4 linked regions of the Anolis sagrei genome follow. The protein of the gene in region 3 interacts with the protein of the main gene of each other region in a pairwise test. Links are inferred from orthologs where the notes say so. Each region holds a gene or a part of one and is shown on either strand. Other genes may lie near its edges.

The links.
Region 1: the proteins of EWSR1 (region 3) and ATXN3 interact in binary tests that used the Homo sapiens proteins (3 or more experiments, as listed by UniProt). The link is inferred for Anolis sagrei from reciprocal best matches to the Homo sapiens genes EWSR1 and ATXN3.
Region 2: the proteins of EWSR1 (region 3) and MVK interact in a two-hybrid assay, tested with the Homo sapiens proteins (2 studies listed by BioGRID and IntAct). The two-hybrid records come from large-scale screens. The link is inferred for Anolis sagrei from reciprocal best matches to the Homo sapiens genes EWSR1 and MVK.
Region 4: the proteins of EWSR1 (region 3) and MAPK1IP1L interact in binary tests that used the Homo sapiens proteins (3 or more experiments, as listed by UniProt). The link is inferred for Anolis sagrei from reciprocal best matches to the Homo sapiens genes EWSR1 and MAPK1IP1L.

The regions. Positions count from the first base shown.
Region 1 is NC_090021.1:315,863,035-315,870,462, forward strand, and holds the start of ATXN3 (ataxin-3), read right to left. Parts: upstream 3,028-7,428; 5' UTR 2,959-3,027; coding exon 2,935-2,958; intron 1-2,934. UniProt on the Homo sapiens protein: Deubiquitinating enzyme involved in protein homeostasis maintenance, transcription, cytoskeleton regulation, myogenesis and degradation of misfolded chaperone substrates.
Region 2 is NC_090034.1:29,479,226-29,486,088, forward strand, and holds the start of MVK (mevalonate kinase), read right to left. Parts: upstream 3,015-6,863; 5' UTR 2,987-3,014; coding exon 2,843-2,986; exon of another isoform or gene 2,800-2,842; coding exon of another isoform or gene 2,797-2,799; intron 1-2,796. Other genes in the region: corrinoid adenosyltransferase MMAB, read left to right, coding at 3,712-3,815, 3,894-3,937, 5,561-5,654, 5,817-5,877, 6,205-6,277, 6,361-6,458. UniProt on the Homo sapiens protein: Catalyzes the phosphorylation of mevalonate to mevalonate 5-phosphate, a key step in isoprenoid and cholesterol biosynthesis.
Region 3 is NC_090034.1:48,576,950-48,583,792, reverse strand, and holds the start of EWSR1 (RNA-binding protein EWS), read right to left. Parts: upstream 3,006-6,843; 5' UTR 2,884-3,005; coding exon 2,871-2,883; intron 1-2,870. Other genes in the region: RHBDD3 (rhomboid domain-containing protein 3), read left to right, coding at 3,619-3,632, 4,479-4,636, 5,404-5,787, 6,359-6,521, 6,610-6,828. UniProt on the Homo sapiens protein: Binds to ssRNA containing the consensus sequence 5'-AGGUAA-3'. Might normally function as a transcriptional repressor. EWS-fusion-proteins (EFPS) may play a role in the tumorigenic process.
Region 4 is NC_090021.1:337,014,112-337,021,821, forward strand, and holds the start of MAPK1IP1L (MAPK-interacting and spindle-stabilizing protein-like), read right to left. Parts: upstream 3,025-7,710; 5' UTR 2,923-3,024; intron 1-2,922.

The sequences.
Region 1 (7,428 bases), on a different chromosome or scaffold from region 3:
AATCCCGACCTGGCCAAATCCTGCAAAAATGTCCTTGGAAGCACTTTTTTCCTGCTAGTAATCATACGTTGTCCCCCGGATCTGCTATCCTGACAGTTTACATTGCTCCCTCAACCAGTGTTTTTAAATTTTTAATTCTTTGCAACTGGCCCTGCCCACTGTGATTAATTTTCTGTGTTCAAGTGTTCTGATTTTATATTGTTTGATGTGTATATTTGTATTGATTTTGTATGTTATTTTTTCTGTTGTATATTGCTTTATTGTACTACTAGCCATCCCCTGACATGCGTTACTGTGGCCCACATGGGGGTTCTGTGTGGGAGGTTTGGCCCAATTCTATCGTTGGTGGGGTTCAGAATGCTCTGTAATTTTACGTGAACTATAAATCCCAGCAACTACAACTCCCAAATGTCAAGATTCTATTTTCCCCAAACTCCACCAGTGTTCACATTTGGCCATATTGAGTATTCGTGGAGAGTTTGGTCCTGATCCATCATTGTTTGAGTCCACAGTGATCTCTGGATGTAGGTGAACTACAACTCCAAAGTGGAATCCTCGACATGCGAGTGTGGAGAAGAGCAAACTACAGACTACCTGCTGCAATGCAACCTGAGAGCCCTGCCACATGCACAATGGAGGACCTCCTTGCGGCAACACCATAGGCACTCCAAGTGGCCAGATACTGGTCAAAGGACATTTCATTAACTACCAAGCTTGCAAACTTTGTTTTTTATCTATTTGTTTTGTTAAAAATGTAATACAAATGTCTGGTTGCTCCTGACACGATAAATAAATAAATAACTCCAAAACCAAAGGACGCTGCCCACCAAACCCTTCCAGTATTTCCTGTTGGTCATGGGAGAACTGTGTGCCAAGTTTGGTTCAATTCCAACGTTGGTGGGGTTCAGAATGCTCTTTGATTTTAGGTGAACTATAAATCCAAGCAACTACAACTCCCAAGTGACAAAATCAGTTTTTTTGAGTGAAGGACATACATTGGGTTGTTAGGTGTCTTGTGTCCAAATTGGATGTCAATTCATCCAGTGGATTTTGAGTTCTGATAATCCCACAAACAAACATTACATTTTTATTTAAATAGACTAGCCGTCCCCTGCCACGCGTTGCTGTGGCCCAGTCTGGTAATCTGGAAAATAAAGTAATGTGAAAGTGTGGGTTTCTAATATATGTAATTTCTTGTTGTTTCTTTGTCAGTGTTGATGTGTGGATGGTCTGGTTTGCCTACTCTGGAATATGGAACATAATTGTCCTTCTTTAGGGGTCCCTGTCAAATCTATGATCTCTGTGTGTGTGTGAATCATATCTATCTATCTATATTTATGCCTGGATAGCTCTTTGTCAGAAGGGCTTTGATTATGTATTCTTGCCCTGGTGAAGGGAGTTTAACTCGATGGCCTTAAGTATATTCTGTTGGTCATGGGGGTTCTGTGTGGGAAGTTTGCCCCAATTCTGTCATTGGTGGGGTTCAGAATGCTCTTTGATTGTAGGTGAACTATAAATCCCAGTAACTATAACTGCCAAATGTCAAGGTCTATTTCCCTCAAACTCCATCTGTGTTCATATTTGGGCATATGGAATATTCGTGCCAAATTTGGTCCAGATCCATCATTGTTTGAGTCCGCAGTGCTCTCTGGATGTAGGTGAACTACAAGTCCCAAACTCAATATCAATGCTCACCAAACCCTTCCAGTATTTTCTGTTGGTCATGGGAGTCCTGTGTGCCATATTTGGTCCAATTCAATCACTGGTGGAGTTCAGAATGGTCTTTGATTGTAGGTGAACTATAAATCCCAGCAACTACAACTCCCAAATGATAAAATCATTTTTTTTTTTTTGAGTGAAGGACATACATTGGGTTGTTAGGTGTATGCTGTCCAAATTTGGTGTCAATTGGCCCACTGGTTTTTGAGTTCTGTTAATCCCACAAACAAATATTACATTTTTATTTATGTAGATTTCTATCCTGCCCTTCTCCTCCTGAAGGCGAACTCAGGTGAACTATAAATCCCAGCAACTACAACTCCCAAATGACAAAATCAAAAAAATTTGAGTGAAGGACATACACTGGGTTGTTGGGTGTCTTGTGTCCAAACTGGGTGTCAATTCGTCCAGTGGTTTTTGAGTTCTGTTAATCCCACAAACAAACATTACATTTTTATTTATATAGATTGGACTTGGCCTCATGTAAACCACCCCAGGTCCCCTTGGGGAGATGGTGGCCGGGTATAAATACAGTTTATTATTATTATTCCTCATGATTCAGCTCATGTTCTTTGTATCCAGCAGGTATTCAAGTCACCATCCACCCCACAATTACCTGTCTAATTACTTTTCACTTCTAACGCTGCGATTCTATGATTGTAAGAGTGATATCATGACAGATGTCAGTGAAGTGGAGCAAGCAGGTGGACCAGTAGCAGAAGCTCCCATGCCAGGGTTGTGATTAAGTGTCTGACAAAACAGGGCTGAGCCCACACACCCTCCTCCTCCTCCTCCTCCATGTTGAGACTCATACTTCCCTATTTGGGACTCACTGCCACCAGCAAGAACTCCACCCATTTCTACAATGTAGATCAGGCATGGGCCAAGTTGGGCCCCCCAGGTGCTTTGGACTACAACTCCCACAATTCCTAACAGCCGTAGGCTGTTAGGAATTGTGGGAGTTGTAGTCCAAAACACCTGGGGGGCCCAACTTGGCCCATGCCTGATGTAGATACAGCTTTCCCTCCTTCCTCACAACATTAACTTCGGTCCCCGAGTAGGAGGCTTCCCCGGAAGGCCTCCAGCTCTCTGCCTCAACTTCCAGCGGGAGCGACAAGCCCTCCTTCCTTCCTTCCTTCTTCCGAGAAGACAAGGAATTGGCTTCTCCCGCCTCCCTGCCGGATCCCGCGTGGCCCCTCCAAGGCGCCCACTCACCCTCTCGTGAAAGATGGCCTCCATGTTTATTTGTCTCCCCACCGACACCAGCCTCCGCGCCACGTGACGGAGAGTCAGCCAATCGCAACAGGCTCCGTCCCTTCGACCAATCACCGCCGCTTCGTCATTCGAGGCTGGGCTTTACCTCACCCCGCAACCTATCTATGAGCTCAACCCATACGTCAAAGAGAGGATGCTAAGGAGAGCGTGCTCTGTTTTACCCACACTTCCGGTTCCAATTGACAACATTTATTTTATATATTTAATTCATGCCCTATCCCGAGCTCTGAAGATCACCTGGGAAGGAATCCCACTGGAGCATGGCAGCGCACCCAAATACCTGGGAGTCACTCTGGACCGTGCCCTGACCTACAAGAAGCACTGCCTGAACATCAAGCAAAAAGTGGGTGCTAGAAACAATATCATACGAAACCTGACTGGCACAACCTGGGGATCACAACCAGATACAGTGAAGACATCTGCCCTTGCGCTATGCCACTCTGCTGCTGAGTATGCATGCCCGGTGTGGAACACATCTCACCACGCTAAAACAGTGGATGTGGCTCTTAATGAGACATGCCGCATCATCACAGGGTGTCTGCGCCCTACACCACTGGAGAAATTACACAGTCTAGCCGGTCAAAGCCATGGTATTCCCTGTAGTAACCTACGGATGTGAGAGCTGGACCTTAGGGAAGGCTGAGCGAAGGAAGATCGATGCTTTTGAGCTGTGGGGTTGGAGGAAAGTGCTGAGAGTGCCTTGGACTGCGAGAAGATCCAACCAGTCCATCCTCCAGGAAATAAAGCCCGACTGCTCATTGGAGGGAAGGAGACAAAGTTGAAGTACTTTGGCCACATCATGAGGAGACAGCAAAGCCTAGAGAAGACAATTATGCTGGGGAAAGTGGAAGGCAAAAAGAAGAGGGGCCGACCAAGGGCAAGATGGATGGATGGCATCCTTGAAGTGACTGGACTGACCTTGAAGGAGCTGGGGGTGGTGACGGCCAACAGGGAGCTCTGGCGTGGGCTGGTCCATGAGGTCACGAAGAGTCGGATACGACTGAACGAATGAACAACAAAAGCCGGTATAGCAACCACCTGACATCCGTCGGGAAGTAGCAGCCAATAGTGAAAGGACCAAGGCAGTGACATCTCCAGCCCATCCCTTGTTTGGGTATCAGCCAGCACGTCAGCGACTTAAATCAAGAAATAGTTTTCTCAGTTCTACAGAGACACTCGCTGGAACACCCCAGCAAGCAAGAGTCCAAAAGTGGCAGGTTCAAACCCAGAACCTCAATCAATGGCTGATACCAAATGAGAGACTCCCCCCTGGGCACACAGAAGACTGGGCGACTTGGAAGGCACTGAACAGACTACACTCTGGCACCACGAGATGCAGAGCCCACCTCAAGAAATGGGGCTACAAAGCGGAATCCACGACATGTGAGTGTGGAGAAGAGCAAACCACTGACCACCTGCTGCAAAGCAACCTGAGCCTTGCCACATGCACGATGGAGGACCTTTTTGCGGCAACACCAGAGGCACTCCAAGTGGCCAGATACTGGTCAAAGGACATTTAATCAGCTACCAAGTTTGCAAAATTTGTGTGTTTTTTTAATGTTTGTTTGTTTTCTTCTGTTAGAAATGTAATACAATGTTCTGGTTGCGGATGACACGATAAATAAATAAATATGGTGTATTGTTTATAGTCTATTGCTTGATGTTTTTGATTTGCTTTATAATGTTATGTGTATTGTTATGTTGTTGTCTTTTATGAACCCACGCGTTCCCTTCGTTCATCCGGAGAGGCCCTGCTCGCGATCCCACCTGTGTCACAGGCGCGTTTGGTGGGGACGAGGGACAGGGCCTTTTCTGTGGTAGCCCCCCGACTTTGGAACACCCTCCCCAAGGACATCAGACAAGCCCCTACACTGGCAGTCTTTAGGAAGAGCTTGAAGACCTGGCTGTTCCGGTGTGCCTTTCCAGAATAGGAAACTCCAGCAATATGTCCCAGAAGCACTTTATCAGAGAGTTAAGATTGTCTGCACATTGCACTTACCCTAAAATCCTACATGTTACCTGTCATACTCAGCACCTTTTAATCTGTACCCATTACAATCGGCCCAGCCCTAGTTTTTAATTGTGTTATGGTGTATTGTTTATCGTCTATTGCTTGATGTTTTTGATTTGCTTTATAATGTTATGTGTATTGTTATGTTGTTGTCTTTTGAGGCCTCTGCCTATGTAAGCCGCATCGAGTCCTTTGGGAGATGCTAGCGGGGTACAAATAAAGTTAATAATAATAATAATAAATATGTAATTTCTTTATGCTTGTGGGTAAACAGTATTGCTTGCTGTTTCTTTGTCAATGTTGATGTGGAGAGTGTCTGGTTTGCCTACTCTGGAATATGCAACATATCTTTAAGGGTCTCTTTAAAATCTATGATACTATATCTGTGTGTGTGTCAATCATATCTATCTATCTGTATGGCTGGATGGCTCTTTGTCAAGAGAGCTCTGATTGAATTTTCTTGCAGTGAAGAGTTGGACTGGATGGCCTTAAATATTTTCTGTTGGTCATGGAGGTTCTGTGTGGGAAATTTGCCCCAATTCTGTCGTTTGTGGGGTTCAGAATGCTCTTTGATTGTAGGTGAACTATAAATCCCAGTAACTACAAATCCCAAATTTCAAGGTCTATTTCCCCCAAACTCCATCTGTGTTCATATTTGGCCATATGAAATATTTGGGTCAAGTTTGGTCCAGATCCATTTGGGTCAAGTTTGGTCCAGATTTGAATCCACAGTGCTCTCTGGATGTAGGTGAACTACAACTCCCAAACTCAAGGTCAATGTCCACCAAACTCTTCTAGTGTTTTCTTTTGGTTATGGGAGTCCTGTGTGCCAAGTTTGGTTCAATGCCATAATTGGTGGAGTTCAGAATGCTCTTTGATTGTAGGTGAACTTTAAATCCCAGCAACTACAACTCCCAAATGACAAAATCAAAAAATTTTGAGTCAAGGACATACATTGGGTTGTTAGGTGTATGCTGTCCAAATTTGGTGTCAATTGGCCCACTGGTTTTTGAGTTCTGTTAATCCCACAAACGAACATTACATTTTTATTTATATAGATTTCTATCCTGCCCTTCTCCCCCTGAAGGGGGATTCAGGGCGGCCTCACATAAGCATCATGTGATGCTGTCAGCATATAACAATAAGGAATACAGTAAAAATCATTAATTCTGCAGGAGGCAGCAACCGGATTTTAAGTGGATTTTTTTCTCTAGTATGATGAGGCCCCCGGACTTCAACCCACACAATTCCCAACAGCCTATTGTCTATTAGGAATTGTGGGAGTTGAAATCCAAAACAACGGGAGTGCCCAAGTTTGGCCATTCCTTATTTACATTGTCGAATTAATGCATGATTTCTTTTCCTACTGCCTTCTACTTTACTAGGCACAATTGTCTTTTCTAATGAGTCATGTCTTCTCATGATACGTCCAAAGTACAAGTTTAAGTCTAGTCATTTGCTTTCTAGGGAGCGATCAAGTTTGCTTTGCTCCAAGACCCATTTATTTGTCTTTTTGGCAGTCACAGAACTCTTCTTTGGCATGACATTTCAAATGAGTAGACATAGGCTTTCCTCACTGTTCAGCTTTTACAATCATATACAGAAGAAAATACAATGGTAAGGACAAAGATTACAAAACACATCATCCTCCTTTCCTAAATGCCGAAGGAATAAGGGACAGATTAGAATACCTCCTTCATTATGTGTTTTTTTTCCTTTTTGAAATGAAATTTTAGTAATGGTTAATTAGGTCTTCAAAGCTCCATTATGCTTCAGAGATACTCATCTGGGTAATAATAATAATAATAATAACAACAACAACAATAACACTTTATTTATATTCTACTCTTATCTCCCTGAAGGGACTCAGGGTGGATTCCAAACAAAAAATGCAAACGTCCAGTGCCCTATTTCTGGTATTCCTGATATCTGCAGTGTTTTCTTCTAGCAAACAAATGAGTTTTAAAAGCACTAAGAAATTTTAAAAAGCTGACAAAGTTTTAGAGGTGTATATTTTCCCCTCTCACTGATTTATATTCCTATGTAGAATGCCTTGTAAAACAAATGTATAACTAAAGCTATTTATATTTCCACTGCCAGCACTAAATAGATATATTTTAATGCATTTGTTTGTTAATATGCAGCAAAGTATAAAGTTTTGGGAGAGAGAATTTCAAAACAAAACATCCAAATACTTTTTAGGCTGGTTGTCATCTTCTTTTTATTTAAAGGTGGAAAAAAGATCTCATGTGTATGTCCCCAGAGAAGAAATTCCAGAAATACAAACTTTAGAATTTTACTCTAAAGAAAAATGAATGCAATGACATTCATTCATAACTGGAAAAAATGTTATGTGTTTCTTCTTAAAAGTAACTTCTTAAGCTCCTGCTAAAGTCATGAATTTAATAGATGGCCCGGGACTA
Region 2 (6,863 bases), about 19 Mb from region 3:
CACAGTTGGTGCACAAGTTTTAGTTGTGCAAATGCTCCCCTGGCCACTGCCGAGACCTGTGGTTTCAGGCTCCACAACGAATCTAGGAGGACTCCTAAGCTGTGAACCTGTGCCTTCAGACAGAGTGTAACCATTCTCCCATTGTCATGGACCGACCATCGGTTTTAGACTAATCGCAGCATCCAACCTCTGTAGGGGTGGTGGACCAATCAAGATAGTCCACCTCAGGAGACTTATGGATCTGGATGGACTCCTGATTTCTCTTGGGACTCTTCCTGTCATGGCAGTAGACAATCCTGGCTAAGCCTTTTTAACACCAAGGTAGCCAGGGCGGTGGACACGATCTCCTTGCCATCATACAGACCCAACCCAGCTCCTTGGTTCACTGAGGAGCTGGCTATGATGAAGTGATTGAGATGGAGACTAGAGTGCTTTTGGCGGAAAACTCTGAGCATGTCTGATCAATCACGGGCTAGAGTAGGGGTCCTCAAACTAAGGCCCGGGGGCCGGATGCGGCCCTCCAAGGTCATTTACCCGGCCCTTGCTCAAGATCAACCTAAATCTATAAGGACTTGAAAGCACACAACTACGACAACAATTCTATCTCACCAGCCAAAGCTCCTCATGCAGGGACATGAGAGAAGCCTCCAACAAGGATGATAAAACATCAAATCATCCAGGCGTCCCCTGGGCAACGTCCTTGCAGACGGCCAGTTCTCTCACACCAGAAGCGACTTGCAGTTTCTCAAGTCACTCCTGACATGACCAAAAAAAAGCTAAAAGCAGGCCCACACTTCCCATTTAAATACTAATAAATTTATATTTGTTAAAATTGTTCTTCATTTTAATTATTGTGTTGTTTTTAAGTGGGTTTTGCATTACAAATAAGATATGTGCAGTGTGCATTGGAATTCATTCGTTGTTTTTTTTTCAATTATAATCCGGCTCTCCAACAGTTTGAGGGACTGTGACCCGGCCCTCTGTTTAAAAAGTTTGAGGACCCCTGGGCTAGAGCCTCATGTAAGGCCTACTCTGTGGCATTGAGGGCAGCCAGAAAGGCTTTTTTGGCTGCCCACATTGCAACTAACAGACCAGCTGAGTTGTTTTGGGTGGTTGGGGAACTCTTTCATCCTTGAAAGTAGGAGGGGACCCCCAACCACTTGACAGCTCAATGTGGCGAGTTTGCTCATCATTTTGCAGACAAAGTCGCCCAGATACGTTATGACTTTGACACCAGTTTTAGTGCAGAGCCAAGTGATGTAACTGAGGGACCTGTCTGTCCAGTTTTGTTGGGTTTGTTTCAGCTTGTGCAGACTGATGATGTGGATAAGATCTTGGGAGCGGCGAGAGCAACCACATGTGCTCTAGATCCTTGCCCTTTTTGGCTTATCAAACTTGCCAGTTGGGGATTAGTTGAGTGGTTTGCAAGGATTATGAATCCCTTGTTGGATCAAGGACAAATTCCATCTTGCCTAAAACAGACCAATCCTGAAGAAGACATCATTATTGAATACCCATTGGCCAATTTCTAATCTCCCCTTCTTGGTTGTGGAGTGAGGGATGGCTTCTCAGCTCCAGGGATTCTTGGATGAAACTGATCCATTACAGTCTGGTTTCAGGCCTGGTCATGGTATGGAGACTGCTTTGATCATCTTGTGGATGACCTCTGTAGAGAGCTGGACAGGGGAAGTGTGTCCTTGTTGATTCTCTTGGACATCTCAGCGGCTTTCGATACCATCGACCATGGTCTACTTCTGGACCGGCTCTCTGGGATGGGTCTTGGGGAAAATGCTTTGCAGTGGCTCCGGTCCTTCCTGGAGGATCACACCCAGTTGGTGAAGCTGGGGGACACCTACTCGGGCCCTTGGCCATTGACCTGTGGGGTCCCGCAAGGTTCTATTCTCTCCCCCATGCTTTTTAACATCTACATGAAACTGCTGGGAGATGTCATCCAGAATTTTGGAGTTTGGTGCCATCTCTATGCAGATGACACTCAACTCTACTACTCCGTTGTGATGGACTGGATGTTTAAATCAAATATGTTTTCCATCTATAACTCTTTGGGTCAAAAGCTCTTCTGGACTGGATGAGGGCTAACAAGCTGAAGCTTCATCCTAACCAGACAGAAGTCCTCCTGGTAAGTTGTGAGGGCTGATGGGAGTATAGGGTGGCAACCTGTGCTTGACGGGGCCACACTCCCTCTGAGGACACAGGTCTGCAGTCTGGGGGTCCTCCTGGACTCAGTGTTGACACTTGATGCTGAGGTGTTGCCGGTGGCCGGGAGGGCCTTTGCACAGTTAAAGCTTGTGCGCCAGCTGCGACCGTACCTTGAGAAGCCTGACTTGGCCATGGTGGTCCATGCCTTAGTTACCTCCAGATTGGATTACTGCAATGCACTCTACGTGGGGCTGCCTTTGAAGACAGCCCAGAAATTGCAAATGGTACAAAGGTTGGCGGCCAGGTTGCTAACTGGAGCGATTTATAGGGAGCGGACAACCCTCCCATTAAATATTTAATAAAATAATAAAATAAAAATATTAAGTAAAATAATAAATATTACATAAAATAAAATAATAAAAATAAAATATTTAAATGGAAGGAAATATAAATAATAATACAATTATAAATATTAAATAAAATAATGACATAAAATGTATTAATATTAAGGAAAATAATAATGAAATATTAATTAAAAGATAAATAATACAACATAATAAAAATAAATAACGAAAATTAGATTATATAATTAAATACAAATATTAAATATCACAATTAAATACGAAATATTATGAATACCATATATCTACAAAATGAAATATTGAATGTAGAATATAATCTCTACTTTTCCGTGCACGACGGCGTGTTCTCCGTGCAGAATGACTTTCCCCGGCGCGGAGAGCACGAGCTGCCTCTTCTTCCGCATGGCCGCCTCTTCTTCACCGCCGGCACACTCCTCTCGCCTGACGCTTTCACCTGAAGGTTCCATTGGGGCGTGGCCAAGCCTCAGGCTGTGCGCGCCGCCCAATAACAGTGAGGAGCGACTCCTCTGCTTTCCCCTCTCGGCCAATCATGCGTGAGGGGGCGTAGCCAGAGGACAAAAAGCACGCCCTCTGTTGCCTAAATGACGTCTCTCGACCAATCAGGCGGCAAGTAGGCGTGGCTTAGCTTCTGAGGGGAAAACACAACATGCCCTCTGTTTCCTAACAAAACCATTTCGACCCATGACGCAATATGTAGGCACGGCCAAAAAAATCCATGCCCTCTCTGTGTTGCCTAATAGCCGTCTCTCGGCCAATCAGGCGGCTGGTAGGCGTGGCTTGGCTTCTGAGGGTAAAGCACAAAAGTACGCCCTCTCCTTGAGGTTCCCAATGAACCTCTCTCGACCAATCAACCGTGGCTATACAAAGAGTCCCGCCTCTTCTTTTATCTCGACCAATAGAAATTCGAGTCTCTGTCATCTCGACCAATCGAGCAGCAGCCAAGAGTGGCTTTGCTTCCGAAAACTCCGGCTTCTCGTTTTATCTTAATGGGAGAGGGGCGCCACATTTACTTCTCGCGCCGATTGGCTGAGCGCCTTTCTTTTGGGCCTCACGCGACCAATGAGGCGATAGGTAGGCGTGGTTGGCGTCTCCCCATCAGGCCCGCCCCCTCACGGCGGCCCTGAAGGGACAAACTTTACCGGAAAAAAAGCGTTTCCACTCTTTCTCCGTAATGGCGAATCAGATGGGTCTTTTCGGAGTTCGCGTTTGTTTTAAAAGGGCGTTGGCGGCTCACTTTGGGATCAGGAACCGCCACGAGGGAGGGGAGAAGCCCAGGTAATGCGCGGGGGGGAGACAAGGCTGCCTGTGAACATGTGCAGAGAGCGCAATGACCCTTTCCCCCTGCTTTTGCAGGCAGGAAGCCAAACTCAAGATCTACACCAAGACAGGGGACACAGGTCAGGATTATATTATAGTTATATTATTTATTTATATGATTGTTTATCTGTATTATTTATGTCTACTTTTCTTTGTTTCTCCTTTATTTGCAATATTTTTATTATTTATATTATTATATATTTATATTATATGATTTATACTATTTATCTATCTATATATCAAATTTCTTATTCTTATATTCCTATTATTATTAATAATCTTATTTATTTGTATCCTTTATATTATTTATCTGTATGTCTACATATATACATATATAACTTAATATTTGTATTATTTATCATTGACCTATTCTTATTCATATTCCTATTTATATTCCCATTTATAATCTCTCTATCTATATAGGTGTGTGTGTATGTATAATTTTTAAAAATTATATTACTAGCTTGGGGGCCTGGCAATGCCTGGGTGATTTGAAAAAGGCATTGTTTGTTTTGGGAAGTTTGGTAATATCTCTGGATGTAGGGTGAACTACAACTTCCACGCAGGTGGCTCATTCCACCCCCACCCCCCCCCCCCCCCAAAAAAAAACCAAACCCCTCCAGTATGTTATCTTGGTCACCAGGGCTCTGTGTGCCAAGTTTGGTTCAGATCTGACGTCAGCTGCGTTCATTTTTCTCTAGATAACGATGAACTACAACTCCCAAAATCAAGGTCAAGCCCCCAAACCTCTGCAGTATGTTCAGTTGGTTGTGGGGCTTCTCTGTTCCAAGTTTGGTCCAGATCCATTGTCTTTGGGGGTCATCGTTTCTATAGATGGTGAACTATAACTCTCATAAATCAAGGTCAATTTTCCCCAAACATCTCAGTATGTTCTATTGGTAATGGAGAGTCTGTGTGCCAAGTTTGGTCCAGGTCTGTCATTTGTGAGGGGTCACAGTTTTCTGTGTATGTTGGAGGTTGAATCAGGTGAAGGTACTGCAAACCCAATCGTCTATAGTCCATTATCCCTCAAACTGCACCAGGACGTGGGTCATGGGGGCTCTGTGTGCCAAGTTTGGTCCCAGTCCGTCATTCATGGGGGTCTCAGTGGCCTTTGGAAGTGAGTGAAGGTACTGCAAATCCCATCATCCGTGGTCCATCCTCCCCCAAACCACACTAGGACGTTAAGTGGGTTATGGGGGGTCTGTGTGCCAAGTTTGGTCCTGGTCCGTCATTCGTGGGGGTCTCAGTGCTCTCTGGAAGTGAGTGAAGGTACTGCAAATCCCATCATCCATGGCAAGTTTGGTCCACATCCATCTTTGGTTGGGTTCACAGTTCTCTCAGGATTTACGTAAACTACAACTGCTATAAATCATGGTGAATTATTCCCAAACCTCTTCTTCAATTGCTGATCAATTCCTGTTTGCTGTGTGTCATAGGAAAGGCACACCAATGGAGAGAGAAGGGAACACTGGGATGTGGCGCTTACTGTAACCCTGCAATTTACATTGCAATGGCCATTTGTGTCTCTTGAATGGTGGAGGTTACAGATGTTTGTGGAAACGGTAGCCTGTGTAATTACACCTCCTCCACATACACATTTTCAATTTTATTATGTGTATCGATTTTAATATTATTTATGTGCTTATTATGTTTACATTATTGTTGTTGTTTATGTTTATATTATTATTATTATTATTTAGGTTTTTCCAGCACATTTACTGGGGAACGGAGGCCAAAGGACGACTGGATATTTGATGCTTTGGGTACTTTGGACGAACTCAGTTCAGCCATTGGGTATTCTATTCAATCAATATAATATATAAATTAAAATAAATATAATATTTGCTATATATATTTATTTTAATATAATGTTTCAGTAAATATATTTTAAGAATACATAAAAATAAACATCCCTAGCAGGATAAAAATAAATAAATAATAATAATTTTAATTTAGATTGAGTTCTGAATTTGGGAAGGAAGGAGGTCACTCTTTTGCAGAAGAAGAACTTCATAAGGTGAGTTTATTAATATTTTTCCATATTATTTTAAGATTTTCCTAAATAATGAAATAATTTTCACATTATTTTATTTTATTGAATTTATTTATATTATTTTGCATATTTATTTTTCAAATTATATTTCAGATTAATTCATTAATTTATTTTGGTGTTGTTTTCATTTAGATTTTGTTTATATTGTTCAGATTCTTTTTATGTTTTTTCTAGTTGTTTTTCAGACTATATTTCAGATTTTTTCATTTTTTAAGATTAATTTCTGGGTTTGGTATTTTAAAAGATTTTTTCATATTATTTTTCATATTATATAAGTCTATATCTGTATAGGTTCAATGCAGGCTGCAAGATGCTGGTGCCAACATCGCGACCCCTGTCTCGTCGGCCCGAGAGGCTCATTTAAGTAATTAAAATAATTAAATATAACAATTAAATTAAAATAATAATAATAACGGGAATTGATTAGGGATAAATTACCTCCCCCAGAACGAACTAGCTTTGACGAAAAGCCGGTTTCAGAGCTGGAAAAATGGATCGATGGATACACTGATCGGCTTCCTCCCCTGCAGTCATTCATTTTGCCGGTATGTTTTTAATTTTATATTAATTATATGTATTATATTTTATTATTTTAATTTACTGTATGTTATGTTATATTTATTTCTAAACTAGTTGGGTCCCCAGCATTACCTGGTTTATTTGAAAAAGGATTTTTTAAATTGTACAAAATGCATTCGGTTGTAGGTGAACTACAACTCACATCATGCCAGGTTAACCCCGAAAAAACTCCATCAGTACTTAAAGTTTGCTATGTTGGGCAAGTTTGCTTTCTGTATGCATCATGGGTGGGGTTCAGTGTGCTCTCTGGCTGTAGGATAAACTACAACTCCCACTATGGTGAGTCAGTCCTCTCAAATCCCTCCAGTAGGTTGATTTAGTCATGGGGGTTTTGTATGCCAAGTTTAGTCCAAGTCCATCATTAGTGGAGG
Region 3 (6,843 bases):
TCATCAATGGAAAAAAGGAATAATTATCCAAAAGATATTTTTGAAAGGTTAAAGAAATAAAATTACCATTAATCACAATAAATAATGCTTTTAAAAGATTCCAAAAATAAAATGACCAATAATAACGAAAAATTGTTTAAAATGGAATTTCTACTGAGGAAAAAAAAGATTCCTGATTCTCTCTCTATATATACAATATAATAATATATAGAAATAATAACATTGTAATGTAATAATACTAGCATATTATATATATTAATGTGATATGTTATATATACTACAATTTATGATATAGTACAATATGTTATAGAATGCTAACAGTATAATATACTGGTAGTGCATTAAATATATTGTGGTGGAATAATATAGTATAATAATATAATTTTCTATTATATATTATTAAAATATTAGTCTAATAGTATAGCACAATATAATATATAATATTAATATTGTGCTATGCTAATAATATATAGAACTATACTTATAACTAATTCCTTAACTTATTGAAGAGCTACGTATTTATATATTTTATGTTTTTTTATATGTTTATATTTTATATAGATTGTAACAGCTTTAATGCTTAATGGGGTTATTTATGAGGCCTGACTGAGTTATATGTTGTATCTTTTAGCCAATGTTGTTCAATTGTTTTATTTTTAACTGTTTGCTTTAATTGTTTTAATTTGTTATTTGCACATGGCATTGAATGTTTACCATTTTTCGTTTTTGGAAGTTGCCTTGAGTCCCTTCCAGGGAGAGAGGGCACGTTAAAAAGAAGTTGTTGTTATATAATATTATGAGTCCCCTTGGGGAGATCAAGTATGGTATATCAAGTTTTATTATTACATAATAAGAAGAATGTAATATGGTAACACCAATATATTAAATAAAATTACTACTGATTATATATAATAATGTATCACAGAATCAGAGAAGTGGAAGAGACCTCGTGGGCCATCCAGTCCAACCCCATGCCAAGAAGCAGGAAAATCACATTCACAGCCCACCCCCTAGAGAAGGCCATTCAGCCTCCACAACGGGGCAGAGAGTTCCACTGCTGCTCTCAGTTACGAAGTTCTTCCTAATATTCAGGTGTAATCTCCTTTCTTTCCTGTAGTTTGAAGCCATTGTTCTTCATCCTAGTCCCCAGGGCAGCAAAAAACAAGCTTGCTCCTACTTCACTATTACTTCCCTTCACATCTTTTTTCATAGCCCCCATCATGTCTCCCTCATGCTTCTCTTCTCCAGGCTAAACATGCCCAGCTCTTAAAGTCGCTCCTCACAGGGCTTGTTCTCCAGACCCTTGATCATTTTAGTTGCCCTCCTATGGACACATTCCAGCTTGTCAACATATCTCTTAAATTGTGGTGCCCAGTATTGGACAAGGTGTGATTCCAGGTGTGGTCTGCCCAAGGAAGAATAGAAGGTTGGCATGACTTCCATGGATATAGACACTATACTCTTATTTATGCAGGCCAAAATCCCATTGACTTAAGCCACTGCATCACATTGTTGGCTCATGTTCCCTTTCCTCCCCACACACGTGCTGCTCTCGAGCCATGCGTCTCCCATTCTGTATCTTTGCACTTCATTTTTTCTACTTAACTGGAGTATCTTGCATTTGTCCCTGTTGAACTTCATTTTGTTCGTTCTGGCCAATCATCTCTCTAGTCCAGTGGTTCTCAACCTGGGGTCCCCAGATGTTTTTGGCCTACAACTCTCAGAAATCACAGCCAGTTTACCAGCTGTTAGGATTTCTGAGAGTTGAAGGCAAAAAAAACATCTGGGGACCCCATGTTGAGAACCACTGCTCTAGTCTGTGAAGATTGTTTTGAATTCTGCTCCTGTCTTCTGGAGTACTGGCTCTCCCTCTCAATTTGGTGTCGTCTGCAAACTTGATAATTGTGCCTTCTAACCCTTCATTTAAGTCATTAATAAGGATGTTGAACAGAACCGAGCCCAGGACGGAACCCTGCTTGTGGCATTCTACTCCTCACTCCTTTCCAGAATGAAGAGGAAGCATTAGGGAGAATCACCGCCTGGGCGCGTTCACTTAACCAATTACAGATCCACCTAACTGTAGTTTTGATAATATTATACTAGTTTTGATAATTATAATACTGTTTAATTGTAGCATATTTGAAGTTGTCATGTTTTTGATTGAGAGCCACTTTGAGTCTCCATAGTGAGAGATACAGCAAAATATAAATCAATTTTTATTTTATGCTAATAATATGGTCTATATATAATATTTGTATTATACATAGACTACATTATTAGCATAAAATAAAAATTGATTGATTTATATTTTGCTGTATCTCTCACTATGGAGACTCAAAGTGGCTCACAATCAAAAACATGACAACTTCAAATATAATATATTATATTATGATTAATAATTATTATTAGTATATTATAATGTAATACTATAATATTAATCATAATATAATATAGACTGAACGAATAAACAACAAACTAATATTGCCCTATGCTAATAGTAGATTATATAGACAAATATTGAGAGTAATAGTGATAAAGCGGGATATAAATCGATCAAATCAAATAAAAAATTTTAAGTGTTATTTAAAATAATAAAAAACGCGTTTCAGAGAGAGATAAATAGGAAATAGATGGCAGTACATCAACTAGAAGGTGATTTTTTACCACCTCTTCCTGGGCCTTCCCTGAGGAACCATTTTGTCCTCCATTTTCCTCCCAAAACCGTTTTCTTTTCCCTCAAAAGCGACCCCTCTCTTCGTTTGTCCGCCTCCGCCAATATTCCCACACCAGTTTCCCTTAAATTCCCCTCAAGAGGGGCCCATTTCCCTCCTTTTCCCACTTCACGCGGCCCTCATTCGAGCCAGCCTCACCCGTCGACGCCATCTTCCCTCCTCCTCCTTCTTCTTCTTCTCAGCCGCTTGAGCCCTGCCCCTTTCCAACGGGCTCTATGCCGCGCATGCGCAAAGGAGCCCCACTCGCTTCTTCCTCCGCCGCCTCTTTCTTCACCCGCTTTTTCTCTCTTTGGCCTCGCCCGCCTTCCTTATATAGAAACCCAATCTGGGACTGTTCCAATGGAAAGGAAAGGGGTGTTAATCGCTTTTCCCTCCTTTGTACCACTTTGGCATCCCCCGTCCTTCTTGTCGAAGCTTTTCGTTCTCAGAGTCTTCCAATGCAATGGAAGAGGGATTCGTTCCAGAGAGGAAATTGAATCACTTCCCCCGCCCCTTATCCGCTTTGGTATCTCCCGCCCTTGTATAAGCTTTTGCACTTCCAACGAAAGGGTACAGTGAAGTGAGGGGGAAATGAGGCTAGAGCTTGAGTGATGGGAGGAGTCTAAGCCTAAGCCCCTCCCACTGTGCAGCTTTATTCACCCCCTTTTCCGACTTCGACTCTTCCGACCTTCTGTTAGGAAGCTATGGCACGGGACTCTTCCAATGAAAGGGAAAAGGGGGCGGGAGGGAGCAAATGAAGGCCAATGTAGAAGAACGCCACGTTCTTCCCGCCCCCTTATTCTCCTTGGTATCCCCTGCTCTTCTTATTCAACGATGAGTCTTGGACTCTTCCAATGAAGGGAAATAGGGGTGCGAAGACAGCAAAGGCTTGCATAGAGGGGAGGAAATGGTTCTGTCCAGGTGAGTTTGAAAAGCAGGACTGGGCATGATAGCTCACAATCAAAAACATTACAACTTCAAATATACAACAATAAAACAGTATACCATGATATATTATTGTATATTATCAGTATTACTTATTTTTATTATTAGTATTGGTAAATTACAATATTATTGTTATATAATAATAAAACATACTGCCCTATCTCCCCAAGGGGACTCATTATAATATTATTAATAATATTATATGTATATATTATATTATGAGTATAGCACAATATTAGCATTATAAATTATTATACCACTAGACTGCAATATTATTAGTAATATATAATAAACAATTATATTATTATATATTATTATCTTGTACTATAGTATTATGCCACAATGTATATAATACACTAGCAGTATATTATACTATTATATATATTATATATTATATATATTATACAATTATATAATACATTGTACTCAGGGGCGGCTCAACCCATTACGCAAAGTAAGCATTTGCAGTATAGTTGATGTTGCTCAGGGGCGCTCTTGGAGGAAAATAGACCTTGACATATGTGAGTTGTAGTTACTGGGATGTATAGTTCACCTATAATCAAAGAGCATTCTGAACTCCACCAATAATGGAATTGAACCAAATATGGCACACAGAACTCCCACGACAAACAGAAAATATATATCAGTGATTGGTTGGGGGGGGGGGGGGCAAAATACAGTTTGCTTACCATTGAAAATTATCTAGGGCCGCCTCTGATTGTACTATATCATAAGTTGTAATAATAAGAACAATACTTTATTTTTCACCTGTCCTTTCTCCCCAAAGGGACTCTTTCAATCACAGGACTTGTTGCTTTGCAGGGGAATGCGGATACGACGGCTTTGGCGTGGACAATGGGACTTGCAGTGGCCCCCTGTTGCTTCCTCCAGCCTCATGGGACTTCTCTTCCTTGTTTGGTGGATGGACATTGAGGAGGGTTTGGCCTTAGTGCCCGGCCTGCTCACAAATCCCTTGCAAGGTAGGCTAGCCATAGAATCGCACTGGCTTTTGTTGGCCCTTCTGAGCGACCCTATGGCATGCTTCAGCCAGAAAATAAGGAAAGCATTCCCCATGATTGCGCAAAAAAGGGTATCATGCTATCGCCCACCACAGTTTCTGCTATTGCCCATTCACATTTCTGCTATTTTACACTACCATGCGCGGCAACTATATTGTGCGATTGGACACTTACCTATATCAAGCTAATATGCAATTGCATATTATGAAATTGGAAAAGCAACATATTGTTTACATGTAAAATAATGATATTACAACATTGAGCAATAGCCAATATGCCATTTTGTGCAGGAATATTGTGCTATCGCGCAACAGCTATATTATGCCATTGGACCCTAACTATTTCTCATTTGCACTGTAACTATTGGGCTATTCCACAAATAACCTTATTATTCTGTACCACAATACCTATATCCTGCTATTGTGCATCAAATACTGTGCCCATTTGTAATTCGCAAAAACTGTATTATGCTTCTGAGCAATAGCAATACTCCTGTCCTGCTATTACACTGTTGCTCACACACAGTATCCCTTTATTGCGGGAGAACAGAATTCCACTATTGTGAAAAATACCCAGGTCCGTGATTGCGTGAGAATTGTATCCCACAGAGGATCCTGTTATGCACCGTGTTTTTTTGGGAAGGACTCCCTTTTTGTTAGTTGTCACCTTCTGCCCATATTTTGACGGATTTGAGTGCGCAATAACCTGTGTCAATTTCTTCCCTGCAGCTTTCCGCCTCGTAACATACTGCCTCTGCCATTCAGACATCTCTCTCCTGTCAGTCAGCCTTCTCTTCTTCCCGCTCTTTGGATGGCGGCCAGAATTGCGCATGGGCACCATACACTTCCTCTACACCGCTGTCCTTGGGGCGGTCATCTCAGCCTTGATGTACCTCCTTCTGGCCGGACTTTGGGGCGGTCACTCAAATGCTGTAGTCAGTGGCTACACTCCGGTCCACTTGGTCTTCCTGGGTTCTCAGCAGTGGCGGAAGGGGCTCTCTGGCTGGATGTCCACCGCCTTGCTGGCCGGAGCACTGGTGGGGCTGACCCAGGCCCTTTCACCCCAGTCATCCTTCCTCCTCCATATCTGTGGCCTCTTGACTGGTTTGGCGTGTATCCTTGAATCCTAAACTGGCCAAAATATAGATTTGGGTGATGTTTAGTCCAAAGGTACAGGTCAAAAATGAGTATAGATACCTTCAAATGACTTCTCGGGAGCATGGGAGAGGAAGACCTCCAAATGACTGGTCTGCTGAGCCAATAGTGGTGTCTTCTCCCCCCTTCAAAACCTCACTCTCGCCTTAGATCAAATTTAGCCAAAGGTCAACATTCAAAAGTGACCTCTAGCCCAAAGTAACCCAAGTGTAGCCCTTCTGGTTTCTTTCTGGCTCCAATGACTAGCAGTCCAATAGTGAAAGAGTCCTTCCAAAAAGATATCCTTGGGTCATGTTTAGCCAAAGGCCAGGGGTCAAAATTGGCCACCAATTACCCCAAATGACCTACAGGGAGCGTAAGGAAGGTACAGGCCTTTTGTCCAAAGTAGCCACAATGTAGTCCACGTCCAGTAGCTCAAAACCAAAGGGAGTCTCTCTCTCAAAAAAAATACTGTCGTTGGGAAACATTAGTCAAAGGTCAGAAGTCAAAAATAGCAACAAATCTGGTTTTAATCCTTGACATATCTCAGACCGTGCTGGGATTTTCTTTCTCCTTGAACCATCGGACAGGTTCTTAGAAAGGATACATAGCAGGATTCAAATCCAAATCCCTCCGTTCCTTCACTTCGTCCGGCCCCCAGAAGCCAGAAGCCTTCCGGTTACGAACCCCATGGCAGCTGCTAAAACACAAGAGTAAGCCTATGTTACCCACTTTGATTCCTTTTCAGTATGAACATTGACTTACCCCTAGACCAGACCTCACATTCATTTTCCTTCCCAGGATTTACGCAGCATCCAGTATTCAATTCCCAGAGCTTTTCCCAAGTGAATCCCCATCACAGACAAGAGGAAGTCCTTCCTTGTCCCCTGCTGTACCTTTCTCTGCCTTCCAGGAAGCCCTAATAGAGGAGGAGTTGCTCCAAGCCGGCATCCAGGCCTCCCTGGAAGACATGGTCAAGGAAGAGGTCACACTTTCCAAATCATCCGTCTCGTCCCTCCGGTAAAATGGTGGACC
Region 4 (7,710 bases), on a different chromosome or scaffold from region 3:
ACCCCCAGAGGTGATTCCACTGGGCTCCCAGGCAGAAGCATATTCTACTATCAAAAAAGCTCTTATTGCCAATATATTCTTTCACACGTTTACATGAAATCTCCTTTTCTGGCATTTAAATCCATTGCTCCATTGTGTCCTAATCTCCAGAGAAGCAGAAAACAAGCTTGCTCCCTCCTCAATGTGACATCCTTTCAAATACTGAAATATGGCTGTCATGGCACCTCTTTTCAAAGCTAAACATCCCCAGCTCCTCAGAATAATAGAACTGGAAGAGACCTCGTGGGCCAACCAGTCCAACTCCCTACCATGCAGGAAAAGCACAACCAAGCACCCTTGAGAGATAGCTGTCCAACCTCTGTTTAAAAGCCTCCTCTGAATTCCAAGACAGAATGTTCCTCTGTTGAACAGTTATCACAGTTAGGAAGTTCTTCCTAATGTTCAGGTGGAATCTCCTCTCCATTGAGTCCTAGTCTCAAAGGAAGCAGAAAACAAGCCTGTTCTCTCTTCCTTATGACATCATTTCACATATTTATACATGGCTACCATGTCTCCTCTCAACCTTCTCTTCTGGGTTTCCTCTCAACAGACCCAGCTCTCTAAGAGAGGTTTTTCATGTTCTCCAGACCTTCGATTATCCCTTTCTCTGGATTCCTTTCAGCTTAAAGTCAATATCTCTTTTGAACTGTGGGGTCCAGAATTGGACACAGTATCCCAGGCAAAGAGGTCTAACTAAAGCAGAATATAATAGAGGAGCACCATGACTTTCCTTGATCTAGACACTATCCTAGAACTGCATTGGCTTTTTGAGCTGCTGCATGACACTCTTGGCTCATGTTCAGCTTGTTGCCCACGGAGACTCCAAGATCTTTTTTCACATGTTCTATTGTCAAGCCAGGCATCACTCATTCTGTATCTTCACATTTCATTCTTTCCTGCCTAGGTGTCATATCTTACCTTTGTACTTGTTGAAATTAAACAGGGGCTGGATGGGCATCTGTTGGGGGTGGGTGGTGAGAGGGAGGGTTGATTGCCACAGAAAGAAGGGGGTTGGACTAGATAGCCTTTGGGATCCCTTCCAACCCTATTATTCTATGACCCAATGTCACTCACGGAATCTTCGTGGCTTCATCTAATATTATATACTAATATTATATCCTAATATATATAATTCATTTAATATAATATAGCAATGTTGTATATTCCTATATAATGTAATATAATATAGTAACAGTAATATATATATAATTCATCTAATATAGTATTATACATTAATATTATGTATATATATATATGTATATGTGTGTGTGTGTGTGTATACACACACACACACACACATATATATATATATATATAACATGACATTTCTATGCCACCCTTCTCACCCCGAAGGGGACTGAGAGCGGCTTACAAGATATACACATATACAATATATGGTATTATTAGCATAGTACAATATCAGTATTAAATATTACTATATTGTACTATACCATTATATTGTAATATTATTAATAATATTACATGTAATATAAATATTATATGTATATACAATATATATTACATTATATGTATTATAGAATTCATCTAATATAATATAGTAATATTGTATATTAAGATATAATGTAATATAATAGTAATTTTAATATTATATATAATTCATCTAATATAATATTAATTAATATATAATACAATATAATATAGTAATAATATATATTATACAATTTATCTAATATAGAATTACATATTAATATTATGTGTAATATATTAATATTATATATAATACAATTAATATAATATAATAATATTGTATATTAAGATGTAATGTAATATAATATAATAATAGTAATATTTTATATAATTCATCTAATATAATATTAATAAATAAATAATACAATATAATATAGTAATAATGTATATTATACAATTTATCTAATATACAATTACATATTAATATTATGTATACTATATTAATTATTAATTAATATTATATATAGTATAATTCATCTAATAGGAATATTGTATATTAATAAATAATGTAATATAATACAGTAATAGTAATATTATCTATAATTCATCTAATATAGTATTATATATTAATATTATGTATAATATATTATTAATATTATATATAAGTCATCTAATATATTAATTAATATATAATACAATATAATATAGTAATAATACATATTATACAATTTATCTAATATAGAATTACATATTAATATTGTGAATAATATATTAATTATTAATTAATATTATATATAATATAATTCATCTAATATCATATAGGAATATTGTATATTAATACATAATGCAATATAATATAGTAATAGTGATATTATATATAATGCATATAATATAATATTTAATATATAATACAATAAAATATAGTAATAATATATATTATATAACTTATGATATTTTAATATATTAATATTATGTATAATATAATATATTAATTATTAATTAATATTATATATAATATAATTCAATTAATATAATATAGGAATATTGTATATTAATATATAATGTAACATAATATAGTAACAGTATAATACATAATTAATCTAATATAATATTTAATATATAATACAATAAAATATAGTAATAATATATATTATATAACTTATATGATATTTTAATATATATTAATATTATGTACAATATATTAACTATTAATTAATACTATATATAATTCATCTAGTATTATATCATATATTGTATAGTCATAAATAATGTAAATGATATTTTAATATATATTAATATTATGTACAATATAATATATTAATTATTAATTAATATTATATACAATATAATTCATCTAGTATTATATCATCTAGTCATATTGTATAGTCACATATAATGGAGTATTATACATATAATTCACTTAATATAACCTTATATTACATCTTAACGACTCACAGTGAGGAACACGGGCGAGACTCCTTCTCCTCCGCTTTCTTCTTTTCTTCTTCTTCACAAGCAAGGAAGCGGAAGCGGAAATGGACCCAGCTCTCGCGAGAAGAGAGGAGGAGCCCCTGACCACGTGACGCCCGCCGCGAGCCTTGGCAGCATGCAGAGCGGGGCAGAGTGCATCACGTGATCCAAGCCACGCCCCCTTTTCAGTCCAATCAATGGGCAAGCCGCTTCAGAGGCGACAGCGGCCCCTGCTGGTGTGAGAGGGAGCCTGCATTTACATGATCCAAGCCCCGCCCCCGCCCCGCCCCCTTTTCAGCGGAATCCTCGTCCAATTTCAGTCCATGAATGGGCAAGCCGCTTCAGAGGCGACAGCGGCCCCTGCTGGTGGGAGATGGGACCTGCACTTTCAAAAAGATCTTGCTGCTGGAGTAATATTACTATTACTATATTACAATATATGTTAAATATACAATCTTCCTATATTATATTAGATGAATTATATTATATACTAGCTTGGGGACCCGGCGCTGCCCGGGTTATTTGAGAAAGGAATTGTGTATCAAGGTTGGTCTTTATCAGTTATTTATATGCCTCGCAGTTGTCTCAGGAAGTTAGTGAAGTTACTGTGAGTCCCATTATCTGTGGTCCATCCCCCTCCAAACTGCTCCAGGATGGAGAGTTGGTCATGGGGGTTTTGTGTGCCAAGTTTGGACTTGATCGGTCATTAGATGAATGTTGCAGAGGTCTTGGGAAGTGAGTGGAGGTACTTGAAGTCCCATCATCCATAGTCTGTACTCCCCAAACCTCACCAGAATGTTGAGTTGGCCATGGGGGCTCTATGTTACAAGTTTGGTCTTTATTGGTTTTTGAATGAGTGTCGCTATGGTTTCAGGAAGTGAGTGAACGTACTGCAAGTCCCATCATCCATCGTCCATCTTTCAAACAGCACCGGGATGTAGGGTGGGTCATGGGGGCTGTATGTGCCAAGTTTGGTCTTGATCGGTCATTAGATGAGGGTTTCAGCAATCTTGGGAAGGAAGTCCCATCATCCATGGTCTGTCCTTCAAACTGCACCAGGGTGTAGAGTGGGTCATTGGGGCTCCGTGTGCCAAGTTTGGTCTTGATTAGTCATTGGCAAGGGTCTCAGTGGTCTCAGAAAGTGAGTGAGGTTACTGCAAGTCCCATCATCCATCTCCATTTTTTTCCAAATGACACCAGGACGTAAAGTGGGTCATGAGAGGTCTGTGTGCCAAGTTTGGTCTTGATCAGTCATTGCATGAGGTTTGCAGAGGTCTCAGAATGTGAGTGAAGGTACTGGAAGTCACATCATCCATTGTCCGTCCTCCTCCAAAACTGCAGCAGGATGTAGAGTGGGTCATGGGGGCTCTGTGTGCCAAGTTTGGTCTTGATCGGACATTAGGTGAGGGTTGCAGCAGTCTTGGGGAGTGGAGGTACTTGAAGTCCCATCATCCATGGTCTGTCCTCCTCGAAAGTGCACCAGGATGTAGAGTGGGTCATGGGGACTCTGTGTGCCAAATTTGGTCTTGATCAGTCAGTGGTCTCAGGAAGTGAGTGAAGTGATTGCAAGTCCCATCATCCATTGACAATTTTTTCCTAACCGCACCAGATGTAGAGTGGGTCATGCTGGGTCTCTGTGTAAATTGTGGTCCTGATCCATCATTGTTGGCAGTTGTAATGGTCTTAAGAAGGGACTCTACGTGGGGTTGCCCTTGAAGACGGTTCGGAAACTTCAACTGGTCCAGCGAGCGGCAGCCAGGCTGCTCACTGGAGCGACATACAGAGAGCATACCACCCCTCTGATGTGTCAGCTCCACTGGCTGCCGTTTCAGTCCCGAGCCCAATTCAAGGTGCTGGTCTTAACCTACAAAACCCTCTATGGTTCCGGTCCAGTGTATCTGTCCGAACGTATCTCCCTCTACGTCCCACCACGGAATCTAATAACATCAGAGGGGGCCCTGCTCTTGACCCCACCACTTTCCCAAGTGAGGCTGGTGGGGACAAGGAGCAGGGCCTTCTCAGTGGTGGTCCCTCACCTGTGGAACTCACTCCCGGCGGATATCAGGACATTGACATCACTCCTGTCCTTCAGGAGGAAGGTAAAGACGTGGTTGTGGGACCAGGCCTTCGGGCAATCTGCCAACCAAGTAAGGACAACCAGAAAAATAGGACCGGCAGGACTGATAAGTGTGGAATGAAACTCTGAACTATGAGGTAGCAAATATTGACCGGCAATAAGGAGCAATTGGTTTGTATCGGTTTGTATGAAATTTTTATGGGCTTTATTGGTTATAGATATGATGTATTGTTATTGTTTGCTATTTTGTGCTATTGTGTTTTATTATTGTTGTATGTTACGGGCATCGAATTGTGCCTTGGATATGTAAGCCGCCCTGAGTCCCCTTCGGGGTGAGAAGGGCGGGGTAAAAGTAAACCAAATAAATAAATAAATAAATAAATTGTTACTATAGTGTCTGGCATAGACACTGAGAACTGGGAAGCCCTGGTCCTTGACCGCTCCAGCTGGAGGTCAGCTGTGACCAGCAGTGCTGCAGAATTTGAAGAGGCATGAATGGAGGGCAAAAGAGAGAAACATGCCAAGAGGAAAGCGCATCAAGCCAACCCCGACCAAGACCGCCTTCCACCTGGAAACCGATGCCCTCACTGCGGAAGAAGATGCAGAGCAAGAATAGGGCTCCACAGCCACATACGGACCCACAATAACACTGGAAGACAATCCTCCTCGGAAAACGAGGGATCGCCTAAGAAGAAGAAGACTGATCTACACCATTCATGGAGAAAATCCAAAAGGACTCCAGCTGGAAAATCTACAAAGTCTTGACTGGTAGGTCTACTCGGGTAACCAGAAGCAATTGGAGCCGGGAGTAGAAGCCCACACCAGCAGAACCTAGAAAGCAGATTGCCCGGGAGGGTCAAAAAGGGTTTTCCTTGTTAAAGAAAGAAATAGTTCTCCAAGCAAGTTGCCTGTCCTTTGTAGACAAGTTAAGAAGCATTTGTTTAATTTGTTGAAGATCCAAGAAGTATTTGATTGCTTGTTGAAGACGTAAGAAATGATAAAGAACTTTGTTAAACATGAGCCAACAATATGATGTGGTGGCAAAAAAAGCCAATGGGATTTTGGCCTGCATCAATAGGAGCCTAGTGTCTAGATCTAGGGAAGTAATGCTACCCCTCTATTCTGCTGTGGTTAGACCACACCTGGAATATTGTGTCCAATTCTGGGCACCACAATTCAAGAGAGATATTGACAAGCTGGAATGTGTCCAGAGGAGAGCGACTAAAATGATAAAAGGTCTGGAGAACAAGCCCTATGAGGAGCGACTTAAGGAGCTGGGCATGTTTAGCCTGAAGAAGAGAAGGCTGAGAGGGGATATGATAGCCATGTATAAATCTGTGAGAGGAAGCCACAGGGAGGAGGGAGCAAGCTTGTTTTCTGCTTCCCTGGAGACTAGGACGCAATGGAACAATGGCTTCAAACTACAAGAGAGGAGATTCCATCTGAACATTAGGAAGAACTTCCTGACTGTGAGAGCCATTCAGCAGTAGAACTCTCTGCCCCGGAGTGTGGTGGAGGCTCCTTCTTTGGAAGCTTTTAAACAGAGGCTGGATGGCCATCTGTCAGGGGTGATTTGAATGCAATATTCCTGCTTCTTGGCAGAATGGGGTTGGACTGGATGGCCCAGGAGGTCTCTTCCAACTCTTTGATTCTATGATTCTATGAACATGAAGAAGAGCTTCCTGACTGTGAGAGCCGTTCAGCAGTGGAATTCTCTGCCCCGGAGTGTGGTGGAGGCTCCTTCTTTGGAAGCTTTTAAACAGAGGCTGGATGGCCATCTGTCAGGGGTGATTTGAATGCAATATTCCTGCTTCTTGGCAGAATGGGGTTGGACTGGATGGCCCAGGAGGTCTCTTCCAACTCTTTGATTCTATGATTCTATAAACTTTTTAAGCTTCTAAAGACTTTTGTATAGGAAAATCCTTAGGGCCTCTCACTCGAGGCACCCCGGCTTCCCGCTGGGCACAAAGAGCACGTCCTGTTCAAAAGCCAACTGCTATAGGCCCAGCGCGTGACCGCGCAACAGTAACCTTAAAAACAGGCACGATCATCTTAACTATTTTGCTGTTAACCTTCCTTGATTCTCTTCTGTGTGTTCTCCAAACATGGCTTTGCAAACATTATATAAATAATTGGAAACATCCTCCCATGCCTCCCCCCATCTCCACTTCTGTCCTTAGGGATACTTATGACGACAAGGACAAACCCAGCGAATTCCATGGCAATTGCCTAATTCTTCCGACTCCCAGGGCTATTAATGTAATGCTTGCTAGTTCCTCATGTTGGAACAGAGGAGGAAGAGATTATGCCGAAGCAGAGCGGCATTTGTGAAATAGCAGCTGGTCTCCCTTGAGGAATTGGATAGACGCTTCACTGATAAATTTTAAAAGGAAAAGCTCTCACAAACTGCTTCGCACGCAAGGCTTGCAAAGGGGAGTGTGGTTTGGTGCTCAGGTTGTTGTTTTGGTGTGCATCCACACAGTAGAATTAATGCAGTTTGATACTACCCTAGCCACCATAGTTTAATGCCATTGAATCTTGGGAATTTACAATGTCCTTAGAATCATAGAGTTGGAAGAGACCTCATGGGCCATCCAGTCCAACCCCAATCTGCCAAGAAACAGGAAAATTGCATTCAAAGCACCCCCGACAGATGGCCATCAAGCTTCTGTTTAAAGATTGCTCCAGGCAATGCT